Callithrix jacchus: one gene and its partners. The protein of the gene in region 2 interacts with the protein of the main gene of each other region in a biochemical or structural test. Links are inferred from orthologs where the notes say so. Each region holds a gene or a part of one and is shown on either strand. Other genes may lie near its edges. The genes, in order: FBXO7, PINK1 and BAG2.

Evidence for each region.
Region 1: the proteins of PINK1 (region 2) and FBXO7 form a complex in vitro, tested with the Homo sapiens proteins (2 studies listed by BioGRID, with this or other methods). The link is inferred for Callithrix jacchus from reciprocal best matches to the Homo sapiens genes PINK1 and FBXO7.
Region 3: the proteins of PINK1 (region 2) and BAG2 form a complex in vitro, tested with the Homo sapiens proteins (2 studies listed by BioGRID). The link is inferred for Callithrix jacchus from reciprocal best matches to the Homo sapiens genes PINK1 and BAG2.

Annotation. Positions count from the first base shown.
Region 1 is NC_133502.1:203,544,252-203,548,410, reverse strand, and holds the start of FBXO7 (F-box only protein 7), read left to right. Parts: upstream 1-1,219; 5' UTR 1,220-1,502; coding exon 1,503-1,624; intron 1,625-1,637; exon of another isoform or gene 1,638-1,861; coding exon of another isoform or gene 1,862-1,898; intron 1,899-4,159. UniProt on the Homo sapiens protein: Substrate recognition component of a SCF (SKP1-CUL1-F-box protein) E3 ubiquitin-protein ligase complex which mediates the ubiquitination and subsequent proteasomal degradation of target proteins and plays a role in several biological processes such as cell cycle, cell proliferation, or maintenance of chromosome stability.
Region 2 is NC_133508.1:57,507,062-57,510,635, forward strand, and holds the end of PINK1 (serine/threonine-protein kinase PINK1, mitochondrial), read left to right. Parts: coding exon 1-123; intron 124-1,584; coding exon 1,585-1,842; 3' UTR 1,843-3,028; downstream 3,029-3,574. UniProt on the Homo sapiens protein: Serine/threonine-protein kinase which acts as a sensor of mitochondrial damage and protects against mitochondrial dysfunction during cellular stress.
Region 3 is NC_133505.1:65,540,691-65,544,962, forward strand, and holds the start of BAG2 (BAG family molecular chaperone regulator 2), read left to right. Parts: upstream 1-1,377; 5' UTR 1,378-1,749; coding exon 1,750-1,862; intron 1,863-4,272. UniProt on the Homo sapiens protein: Co-chaperone for HSP70 and HSC70 chaperone proteins. Acts as a nucleotide-exchange factor (NEF) promoting the release of ADP from the HSP70 and HSC70 proteins thereby triggering client/substrate protein release.

The DNA of each region.
Region 1 (4,159 bases), on a different chromosome or scaffold from region 2:
TGAAGGGCGCGATGTGGACAAGTGCTGCCACCTACTGGTAGAAACGTTTTGTGACTCTTACAAGGATTTGGACTATGGTTATCATACAAGGATGAAACTTGATTATTCTTTCTCATCTAAGTTATCATTAGTTAGACCCTCTATGGTAGTCAGCCTCCAGAATGGCCAGCAGCAATCCCAGTCTATTGGCATTCATGCCTTTGGTGGATTCACAGAAGGTTGGTTTGTAAATATGACAATAGCCATATGTGACCTCTGGAGCTAGGTAATAAAAAACATTGTGGCTTATGCTTTGGTCTCTCTGGAATCACTTGCTCTGAGGGAAGCCAGCTGCCGTGTCATAGGGACACTCAAACAGCCCTATGGGGAGGTTCATGTGGTGAAAAACAGGTCTCCAGCCAACAGTCCTGTGTCATCCTGGACGCCGATCCTCTGGCCCTAGCCAATAACTGCTGCCCTGGCCTACACCCTGACTGTAACCTCATGGGAGGCCTGGAGACAGAACCACCCAGCTACGTATCCGCAAATCCCTGACCTCTAAAACCTGTGGGACAACAAATGTTTATGGAATTAAACTTTGGGGTGATTGTTATGCAGCAACAGATTTCTAATAAACTGTCCAACATAGAGCACCGCCTACAAACAGCTCTACTTTTTTTTAAAGGCAGGGTCTCGTTCTGTGGAACCAGGCTGAGGTGCAGTGGTGCCATCACTGAGGCCTCAACCTCTGGACTCAATCGACCCTCCCGCCTCAGCCACCCAAGTAACTGGGATTACAGGCACGCACCACTACGCCTAAGTTTTTGTAGAGACGGGGTCTCGCCATGTTGCCCAGGCTGGTCTCGAACTCCTGGGCTCAAGTGATCCACCCGCCTCGGCCTCCCAAAATGTCGGGGTTACAGGCGTGAGCCACTGAGCCCGGCCAACCTAAGGACTTTTAACCTAAGTCTTCTCAGAGCAGATGCCGCTGGAGCTGGGGGCCGCGGAAGAAATGGCGTGACACTAGGTCCCGGGGAGTTACGACTGTATTATTGTCTGCAGCATCCCTAACAGCACCACGGTTGCTCCACGTTAGCAAGTTCAGGAAGTCTCATTCACCGCGGCGGAAGAGCTGGGAAGCCAACGTAAAGCTGCATCTCGGCGCCTGCGCACTGTGCCCATGCTATCAGGTAGAGCCGTTGCGCGCCGAGTCATCGATCGGTCAATTTCCCACCCCCCCGCAAGTCCCGCGGCCAGGCTCCTGTAAGCCGCCTGCCTGCCGCCCGCTCTCGGGGTCGGCTCCAGGGGGCGCCCTCAGGAGAGGGGCGGGTGCTCACATTCCAGAGACCGGCCAGCAGGGCGGCCACCGTAGTGGGGCTCTTTCCCCTTTCCGCCTCAGCAATCCCTCAGCTCCGTAGTCGCCACTCCGGGGTCGCAGCCGTTTGAAGCAGGAGCGGCTCGGCCCCCCCGCTGTCCCCGTCGCCGCCTCTGGGTCCAGGATCCTCGCGGATCCCGCCGCCGTCATGAAGCTGCGGGTACGGCTTGAGAAACGGACCCAGCAGGTGGAGGTGCCAGAGGCGGAGCCGACGCTGGGGCAGCTGCGCACGCACCTGAGCCTGGCCCTGCTTCCCACCTGGGGCTACAGGTAGGCGGGTGCCGGGGGCGGAGCGGCCCGTGGGTAGTGGGGAGTGCTCGAGGTGGGTGCTGGGCGGCTTGGAGTCATCTGTGGGCTGCCGGCGCGGGCGTGGCCGGGCGCTAGGCTAGATGCGTGGACGCCCCGGGGCCATCACGTGAGGCCCGGGCTCTCCCGAGCGTCGCGGAGCCCTAGGCTGCCGGCGACTGGACGCGCAGGTGGTCGTCGGTGGTCCGGCTCCTGGAGAACATGGCCCAGCCTCTTGGGGGCTCTGGTCCTCTGCTTGGTGAGTCATGGCTTCTGGTTTTGCAGTACACGAAACCAGGGAGAAGAGTGAACTCACAGTTCCCACAACTGGTTAAATTTCAAGTTGGAAATGATGAGCTTGGCTTAGGTTAAACCTTTCTGGACTGTCGGGGGTCCGAGTTAATTTCTTCAGCTGTTGGAGTATTTCAATGAAAAAGTTTGGAAATTGCTACAAGTTAAAAATCTGCCCTCCATCGGAGGCAGCTTTTATCGCTGCTGTGAAGCTGCAGCAATTTTAGGACTCTGTTAGAGTGGTTCGTGCACCAGGCACCGCGGTGAGTGCTTGGACTTAGCTGCTGCTGAAAAGTTTTAGAAAGTACAGCGTGTAGTCGTCTTTCAGACCATTCGATTTTCCTGGGCGAAATGTTGCTTTTTGTTAAAACTGAGGAAAACGTTGCTCTTGAGAGCTTGCAGTTTGGGGGCATAAAGTTGAGAAAGGATCATATTCGGTTATTCGTTTATGGGACTCCAGATAAGGTGCTTTGTTTCCCCAAAAGATATTTTTTTGGGGGAGACAATAATCTGGGAGTAAAGTGACAGTGTAAGAGTGGTCTTCTTCAAATACTGAGCTAGTGAAGTTGAAACTTGAGTGTGCTGAGGAAAAATAACAATGTTCCCCGTTTTCACCTTATTTTTAGGGATTGCATAATATGAGGCCGTTATTCCAAACTTCTCACCCTTTCATTTTTCAGGTTAAGACATTATTAGGTTGAAAGTAAGCCTGTTTTCTTCCAGATTAAAAAACAAACAAAAACCTTAAATAAGATGCTGACATAACTCCTTTTAAACATTATAGTAAGTGACATGCCTACTGTTATTTCTTGTTAAACCTGTGTGTTTTCCATATTGGCATCATTACCAGTAGGTTACCAGTAGAAGATTGAATAAATCTTCAAAATTAACTTATCTTTTAAAGGTGTATATATATTTTATTGTTTTTAAATTAGGCAGTCCTGAAAAGATGTGAAACTCAATATGGCTGTTTGCCCAAAGGGGCAAGTTGGTTTCTCTTTCAGATTTGTTTTTACAGTTGAGGCTGCTTACCTGGAAAGAATTTAAGCATCAACTTGTGAAAGTAAACTCTTTTTTTCTGAAAGTATACTCATCTTCTACTAAGTGAGCAGTTTTAAAATATGTCCATATGATATTATTTTAAAAATACTGAGCAAGTGGATCTAGGATTGTCATAAAATACTTTTGTTTCATTTTTGTTTTTTAAGAGAAAAGTGAAAGCAAGTTTATTTAGAAAGTAAAGGAAGAAAAGAATGGCCACTCCATAGGCAGAGCAGCCATGAAATACTTTTAAAAAGCCTGGAGTTTCTAGAATTTCATTTCCTGGAATTAAATACTCCTCTTAACTCCCCAATTTCAGAGATAGAACCCTGGAAAACTACATATTTCTTTAGAAATAGCTTTTCCCGTTTTCTAAAGTGGGAGGAAAAGCTGGTATATTTATTAAGCAGACCATGACCTTTTCTACAGATATTTGAATGTACATTGTACTAGATGCTGTTTAAAAAAGCAACCTTTTGCTGTGACAAATGACCCATAAACATGTAGTTCATTTGAGGTGTTTTTCCTTTTTCTGCCAAAGTTGGGATGGTGTTTTTGTGGGCTAGTGGCAGAGTTTCAACTTTTTGCTTATCAAAGCATTTTGAAAACAGAAACAGGGCTGCTTGTTTTCTGACAAACAGGAATGGCTTCTATTTCACTAATTTTAATTTCTCTCCCAAAGACACCTCAATTATTAAGAAAAAAATATATTTATGAGTGAAATAAAAACATGAATTATTTGGAGCACTTTTCAAAATACAGCTTTATGAGAATAAGTAAACAACATAATTTTTAAAGGACTTCATCTTTTGTTAACCTCTCAAAAAATTAATGAAATTAGCATTGCCAAGTGTACATATCTTTTAAAATGTTTTATAACGTTTTGTTAGTTATCCCTCACTATGTGATGAAGAACATTGTATTTCTCTAATGTCAAATATTCTGTGGTGCAGAAAGAATGGGATTTTGTTGCTTCAGGCTTATAAGAATTCTGAGCTTGTTTAGCAGTGGGCTTTTGGGTTTGTACTATGTCCCACTAAAAGGCATCATAACTGATCATCAGTACAAGGATGAATTTAGCTTGTCATCAGTAAGAGGGACGGATTTATACTCAGTCATATCCATATACTGCTCTAACTCTTTGTGATTATGAATATATGGATCTGGCATTTTGTAACCCATGTAAGT
Region 2 (3,574 bases):
CAGGGTAAGGCCCACCTTGAAAGCCGCAGCTACCAAGAGGCTCAGCTACCTGCACTGCCCGAGCTGGTGCCTCCAGATGCTAGACAACTGGTGAGGGCACTGCTCCAGCGAGAGGCCAGCAAGGTGAGATTGTCCCTGGCTTCAAGAGGACAGTGTGGGTGGAAACCTCAGTTCTCGTTCCAGAGTGAAGATTAAGTTTGGGCCAGCACCATGGTGACAGAGCCTTTGTTAGGAAGGTGGAAGGTAAAGCCTAGTTATAGGAGAATAAAAAATAGATTTTAATGTAGATAAAAGTAGGAGTGTTAGCCACCACATCATTGTCAGAGTCCTAGTAGTTCAACTCCTGTGGCTATTTCAGTTGCTTAAAAAGTTGTTCAGAGGCCGGGTATGGTGGCCTATAATCCCAGCACTTTGGGAGGCCGAAGCGGGCAAATCACTTGAATCCAAGAGTTCCAGACTAGCCTGGCCAACGTGCTAAACCCCATCTCTACTGAAAATACAAAAATTAGCCAGGTGTCATCACATGCCTATAATCCCAGCTACTTGGGAGGCTGAGGCAAGAAAATCTCTTGAACCTGGGAAGTGGACGTTGCAGTGAACCAAGATTATGCCACTGCACTCCTGGGTGACAGAGCAAGACTCTGTCTCAAAAAAAGGATGTATTTTGGAGAAAGTTTGTTTTTTGTTTTTTGTTTTGAGATGGAGTCTTGCCCTGTCATCCGGGCTGGAGTACAATGACACGATCTTGGCTCACTGCAGCCTCCACCTCCTGGGTTCAAGCAATTCTCCTGCCTCAGCCTCCCAAGTAGCTGGGATTACAGTTGCCCACCACCATGCCCAGCTAATTTTGTATTTTTTTAGTAGAGACAGGGTTTCACCATGTTGGCCAGGCTGGTCTCAAACTCCTAACCTCAGGTGATCCACCCACCTGGCCTCCCCAAGTGCTGGGATTACAGGCGTGATCCACGGCACCCAGCCAAGAAATGTTTAATGGAGATGTAGCTCATGGAAACAGCTGAGAACTGATCAGAGAGATAAATGAGAAACATCTTCCGAGAGCAGATGTGGACATTATGAAATTAATATAAAGGAATGCAAAGGCAGACCTATCTGAAGCCATAATTGGAGTGACAGCTGGCTCAGGGGCAGGCTTAGTGCAAAGAGCTAAGCCATACCTGCATGCCAGCACTGTTTTGCCACTCCGTTAACCACTCCCTGTACGTGGCCTGCTTATCTTGGTCACAGTAGGTGCACAGTGAAGGTTAGAAACTGCAATCAGTTATGAAATGATTAGAGACAACTTAAAGGGACCAGACAGCACAAGAGGCACTGGGCTTTCCACCAGGAGGAAAGGCTATTCCAACAAGCATGCTATCCCATGCAGAGGTGTACATGTGGAAAAGCTTGGAGCATGGGTAGGGGGCAAGCCGTATTTGTCACCTGAATAAAGGACATCAGTAGGAGATAGGGTAGAGGAAGAACTGGATTGGGGCCAGAGAAAGGAAGACCCTCACTAACAAAGCACGCTTTGGGTTGAGACTGTGTTAACAGATGTTGTAGCTTCAGCTTCCCTTCCTGTTGCAGAGACCATCTGCCCGAGTAGCCGCAAATGTGCTCCATCTAAGCCTCTGGGGTGAGCATATTCTACCCCTGAAGAATCTGAAGTTAGACAAGATGGTTGGCTGGCTCCTCCAGCAATCGGCTGCCACTTTGTTGGCCAACAGGCTCACAGCGAAGTGTTGCGTGGAAACAAAAATGAAGATGCTCTTTCTGGCTAACCTGGAGTGTGAAGCGCTCTGCCAGGCAGCCCTCCTCCTCTGCTCGTGGAGGGCAGCCCTGTGATGTCCCTGCATGGAGCTGGTGAATTACTAAAAGGAGAAATTGGAAGGCTCTGTGTCATGATGGTCTGTGAGTAGTGAGGGTGGGAGTCAGGAGACAAGATGGTGCAGAGAGCGTTGGTTAGCCAAAGAGAAGGCCTCAGGCTTGGCAAATGGAAGAACCTGAGTCAGAGTTCAGTCTGCAGCTGCTAACTCTAGCTGTGCAATTTGGGATGAATCTTATAATCTGTGTGGACTTAAGTTCTCTTGCCTGTAAAACGAAGAAATTGGTATAAACCAGGAGTTGGCCACCTTTCCGGTTGTGACAACTAGTCAGTCTTCCTTGTGGCACAAAAGCAACCCTGAGCACGTAATAAGTGTGGCTGGGTGCCAGGAGAGCTTTATTGATGGACACTGATGTTTGGTTTCCATGTGTCACTAGTCTTTTCAACCATTTAAAAATGTAAGGACCATTTTTAGCTTGCAAGCCATATACAGGTTGCAGGCTAGATTGGCCCACACACCAGTTTGCCAACCTCTGGTCGAGATGAATTTGAAGAATCTAACTCTACAAAAAAAAAAAAAAATTTTTTTAAAGCAAACTGATCACTAGGTCTGTTTGTGCGTCCATACTGGGAAGAAAAAAAAAAAATGTGGTAAGCTTATCCCTGTGTAGGAAGCCGAAGGAATGCATTCTCTTCACCGGTCAGGAAGGTAACTCAGGCTTGATTGCAGACTTCAAAGCCCTGTCTTCAACCCTTGCCCTGTCCTCGGACGTCTGAAAAGTTAGTGGCCAAGCTGATGTATCAGAGGAGGCTGAACTGAGGAGGGGTAGGCCTGCATCCACAGCAGAGGATCCAGGCCAAGGCACTGGCTGTCAGTGGCAGTTTGGCTGTGACCTTTGCCCCTAACACGAGGAACTTGTTTGAAGGAGGCAGTGTAGCATGTCTGCATTTGCCACCTGGACAAAGGCAGCCATCAGCATGGGTCAGCACATTCAGTTATAGGAGTGGGAAACGTCCACACGAGGCTTGGGAGGTGGGGGCCTCTGTGTTCCCAAGCTGTGCATTCTGGACCAGCTACTGAATTAATCCCACATAGCAAAGGTGACTGATGAGCAGGAAGTGTGGGGATTTAAACTTGAGGGTTTCCCTTCTGACTAGCATCTCTTACAGGAATTGTGAAACATTAAATGCAAATTTACAACTGCAGACGACATATGTGCCTTGAACTGAGTATTTAGTTTTAAGAATGATTCTTATATGCTGAAGGTAAGAACATTTTGTGGGCAGTTATCAACACTGGGAAAAGATTTCACATATAACTTTATACATGATTTTTAGAACATGGCTATTGCCTAAACAAAGCAAGGGTGGAATGCAGTTAAAATGTGAACATACGGTTAAGGTTCTCTTCCACCGAGCCGTTCTAGCCTTCTCTTACCTGGCTCTATCTTTCTAGATTTCCCATTATTTCAGTGAGTCCCGCCCCTTGGTCTACTAGCAGCTTTCTTGTATCCTTTGAGGAGACCTTAGGAAACACCATCACTTCATAGTTAAAGACAGTCCAGTCTTAGGCAAAATTTCACAAAGACACTTAGGATTTTGTATCCAGTCAGTCATGACCAAACAGCACCCCCATCCCCAACCATAAGCAAAGCAGGACAGAGGCCAGGTGAAGTCTGAGGGCAACGTCTCTCTTTATTTTAGAAATGAGAGTGACTTCACATATGAAAAATGCCACTTAGCAATTCAAAG
Region 3 (4,272 bases), on a different chromosome or scaffold from region 2:
GCTGCACTGAGATAATATGTACATGAGAGACAAGAGTAGAAGCAGGGAGACCAGAGAGGAAGTTATTGTAGTACTCCAAGTGCAATCTTACCAGGTAGCTTGAACCAGAATGGTGGGGTATAATTGGGAAGAATCTAGATAGATTCTGAAGGTAAAATTGATGGGATTTACTAATAGGCTGGATCTAGGTAGGCTATGAGAGAAAAAGAGTTCAGGATGATTCCAAAGTCACTTGATAGGCTTTCAGACCACTCACAAAATGTGTTTTGATTTCGTTTGTGTCATGACAGAGTATTTTTAATAAGGTCAAATAATCCCCTACCCCAATAGTTAATTAGGATTTAGAATGAGTTCAGAGGGAATTGGGATCCAGCCTTAAGGGCTTCAACTCTGTTCAAGTATTTAAACTGCTTTGATCTCTTTGATTAAAGGTGGTGGTTCAACTTTAAACTATTATTATCTATCATTTTCTGTGCCTTGTAGATTTTCATCCTTGCAATGAGAGGCATAGAGCTATCAGGAGAGGGACCAAAGCCTCACTTTTTAAGTAGTCCAGTCTTTATACTCTCAGCTCTACTCCATCTTTTGTCAACTACAGCTCATGCCTGACCTAGAGGCCTTCTGCATCTTTTTGTTAACAGAAGATTTTTAAAAGTTGAAGACTCCTTAATACCAATTATTTCACTCAGAAGTATTATCATTATTATTTTTTGAGACAAAGTCTCGCCCTGTCGCCCTGGCTGGTGTGAAGCAGTTGGCGAGATCTTGGTTCACTTAACAGGCATAATTTTAATAGCAAAAATTAAAAACCCCTTCATTAAGCCCAGCGTGTAATCCAGCACTTTGGGAGGCTGAGGTGGGTGGACCGATGGAACCCAGGAGGTCAGGGCTGCACTAAGTCGTGATCGTGCCACTGTACTCCAACCTGGGTGACAGACCCAGTCTCAAATTCAAAATAGAATGGTAAAAATGAAATATATTCACCTTGCTTCCCACATCTAGCTAGACAAGGAGAGATGGAATAGCTTTTTCTTTTTCAAAGCTTCAGTTGCTGTAGGTGCTTTCATTACTCATCTCAGGAAAGAGTGGTAATAGGAAGGTCAGGTGCGTGTAGTCTGCCTAGAAGCTGTACTGCCTTGTGTTTTACATAAGGCCGTTTTCTCCCCATATCACAGGACTCAAATGTCGTTGTTCTTGCTTTGAATTATGGGTGCTGGGAGAAACTAAACGAACCCATTACTGAGCAATACACCCACAGCCCATCGACCGATAGGAACCTTCGCGTGGGGGGAGTTGGTTACTTTTAGTCTGCACGGAGAGGCGGGGCCTCGCAGGGCGGAGCTGGGGGTGGTCTGTGGGTCCGCGCGCGCTTCGGGTAGTTCCTGGGTCTGAGGAGCTGACGAGACAAGCGGCAGACCCGGCAGACCACATTAAGCGCTACGTCTCTGCGTGCGCCCCTCCTGGCGCCTCAGAGCCTTGCGCTCGTGGTCCGCGCACCTCTTCCTCCGGCCGCGGCTGCTCCCTCGCTGGCCCGGCATCCCCGAGCCCCGCGGGCGCCGCGCCTGCCCTTGTTTGGCCACGCGGCAGCCGCGGTGTTAGCGGGTCCTCTAGGGTTGCTCCCGCGGGCGTCAGAGGCGGGGAGGGCGGGCTCCCGCGTAGTGACGGCAGCGCTTGCAGCCGCAGGAGCGCTCCATTCGCCGCCGCCGGAGGGGCCGGTGACCTCTCGGCTGCCCCACGTCAGAAGCTTAGATGGCTCAAGCGAAGATTAACGCTAAAGCCAACGAGGGGCGCTTCTGCCGCTCCTCCTCCATGGCCGACCGCTCCAGCCGCCTGTTGGAGAGCCTGGACCAGCTGGAGCTCAGGTGAGCGGCGGGCTGGCGGGCTAGCGGGCTGACGGGCGGGCGGTCTCGGGCGTCCTGCTAGCTGCGCCGCGGTTCGCGGACGGAGGCCGTGTGTGGCTGGCCGGGGTCTGGGGCACAGTGAGGCGGCGGCCGCAGAAGTTTCCTGTTGAGATTTGTGGTGGATGGACGTGGAGCAGTTTTGTTTCTCGGATTTTCTCCCCTAGTCCGACAGAGGACGCGTTCGATTTAAGCTAAACCTGTGAGGGCGTAATCAGTGGCCACACTCTGACTTACCTGGGTGTTGGAGAGTGGGAAAAAAAATCAGAGGATATAAAAGTCCCGGTGAGATTCCATGCGATTAAGGACTGTGGCAGCCGGGGTCTGCAGAACTTCTAGAACCTTCTGTGTGGCCCCAGATGTTTTTAACTTACTCTTTTCCCGTATGCGTTTTTAAAGGAGGCAGCAGTTTACAGTGGCCCTTCACGTGAAATTAAGTTTCCCTGCTTCAGAGCACTTCGGAGCAAAAATGGAAAAAAACAAAACCAACCCCGCGATCCATTGAGAGCAGATTAGAGAGGGGTGAGGGGTGGGTGGTAGGGTTACTGGGTGTTTAGTGCAGTGAAGACGTTGCTGCCTCCCCTGTCTCCCCTAACCTCGCTGGCGGTATTCAGCCGCTCCGTTAGTTTCTCCGTACTGGGCACCTCCCTGCATGGAAGACTAAGTGATAGTCTCTGGCCTGAAAGCATGAAAAGGTAGTTTTCTCCTTTTCTTGCTTAAGATTTTATTAGGTAATATAGAAGTAGACGTGCGTAGAATTTCGAAACAATTTAATGTTAATAGATTTATGGAAGGACTTTAACGGTGTATTGAAAAGTTTTATATACTTCCTGTTGAATGTTTGTTTCAAGTTCCTGTGAAATTTTTGTGAACAAGTGTAGTTAAAAGAAAATCGTGTTAGGCACCTGCAATCCCCTGAATCTGTACACAGGAGTTGGTTCCATCTTTTTCTCTAGGTTGTGCATGAGCAGAGGCATGTGAGCCAAAAAGTTGGGGAAACACTCTGTGTGTGTCTTTATCTCCCTCCATTAGTATACCCAAGCATGAAGTGTCCGTTTGCCGAGAAAATACTTCAATAACCACGGTATCTCTTAACTAGTGAGGCACTGTTACTGTTACTACTGGGAGAAAAGAGCCAGAGAGGGAGAGATTCTCCACTCACGATAATTTCATGGATGGCAGCAGAGAAACCTCAGCCCTACGCCGGGTTTTGGGGTTCCACTCAGAATTAGGCAAGTGGAAGAGAGAAGTAATGCTTCCTCATGGATTTTCTATGTACTAGCAAACCTGACCCATTCCACTCCCAGGAAAAGTAGAGCGAAAGCAGAAATTAGTGGCTTCAGTTACTTGAAGTCCCTCCAACTGATAATGTTTCTCCTTAGGGAGCCACGTAACAAGTAACCCACACTTCTCCATATCTTAAGAATGTTAAGGGCATGTTCTCAACCACTTCACTCTGGCTCTCCCTTAGAAAGAAAAGATTTTTTCCTAAAGGAATAGGGAGGATGCTACTCCACCCTGCCTTCCTTCAAGCGGAGTCATTGTCCTCCAACTTGAAATGCCTCACATGTGGTAGGTACAAAAGCACTCTGAAGTGCTCCTCTTTAAAATAAAGCCTCAGGTTTTGAAGATTATTATATTCTAATGTTTGATTAATGTAAAATGAATTCTGATTACTGCACATCACTGATTAAATTACAACTTGCTTAATATTTGAGTTGAGAAAAGTCTGATTAATATGTGGCTGTTTGTTTCAAGGCCTTTTTTTTTTAGTAGTTCTAGACTTTTGTAGGCTTTTTTTCTTCTTTTTAAAAAAGTAGTACTGGCTGAAAAGGATTTCTGAAGGTAAGCAAAAATAGAGAAAAAATGCTAATACTGATCCTATTAAAGTTTTTTTGAAACCACATGGGCAATGGCACAGAACACTACACTATTAAAACGAGAATCATGAGTACAACAAGGTTGATTTTTAAAAGAAACTAGGAAACTCTTATGTAATTTTGCTCTAGTAGTTTGATTGTATGTTGAGTAATAAAGTAGTGTAACTGGGTAGAATAAAACCTTACAGTTTGTACTTAGCTGTGTGCACTTAACGTTCCCTAACCACATTGGTCCTATCAATTGAGTAAGAAATTTCTTCCCTATGAAACTGAAAATAGGATTATGCCAAATGTTTTGTGACCTGGAGTATGAACTGACCTACATGATATTTAAAATGTTTGACAGCAGTTCTACTAACTGTTAAAGGTTTTTATTTATCTCTAATGGAATTTATCTAAACACTAGCCTTTTTTCTTTGGACTGCATTTTGTCTTCTGTATTTCTTCCTTCTAAAGGTGATTCCCTTTTCTCGGTTTTTATGATCAATTCTCAA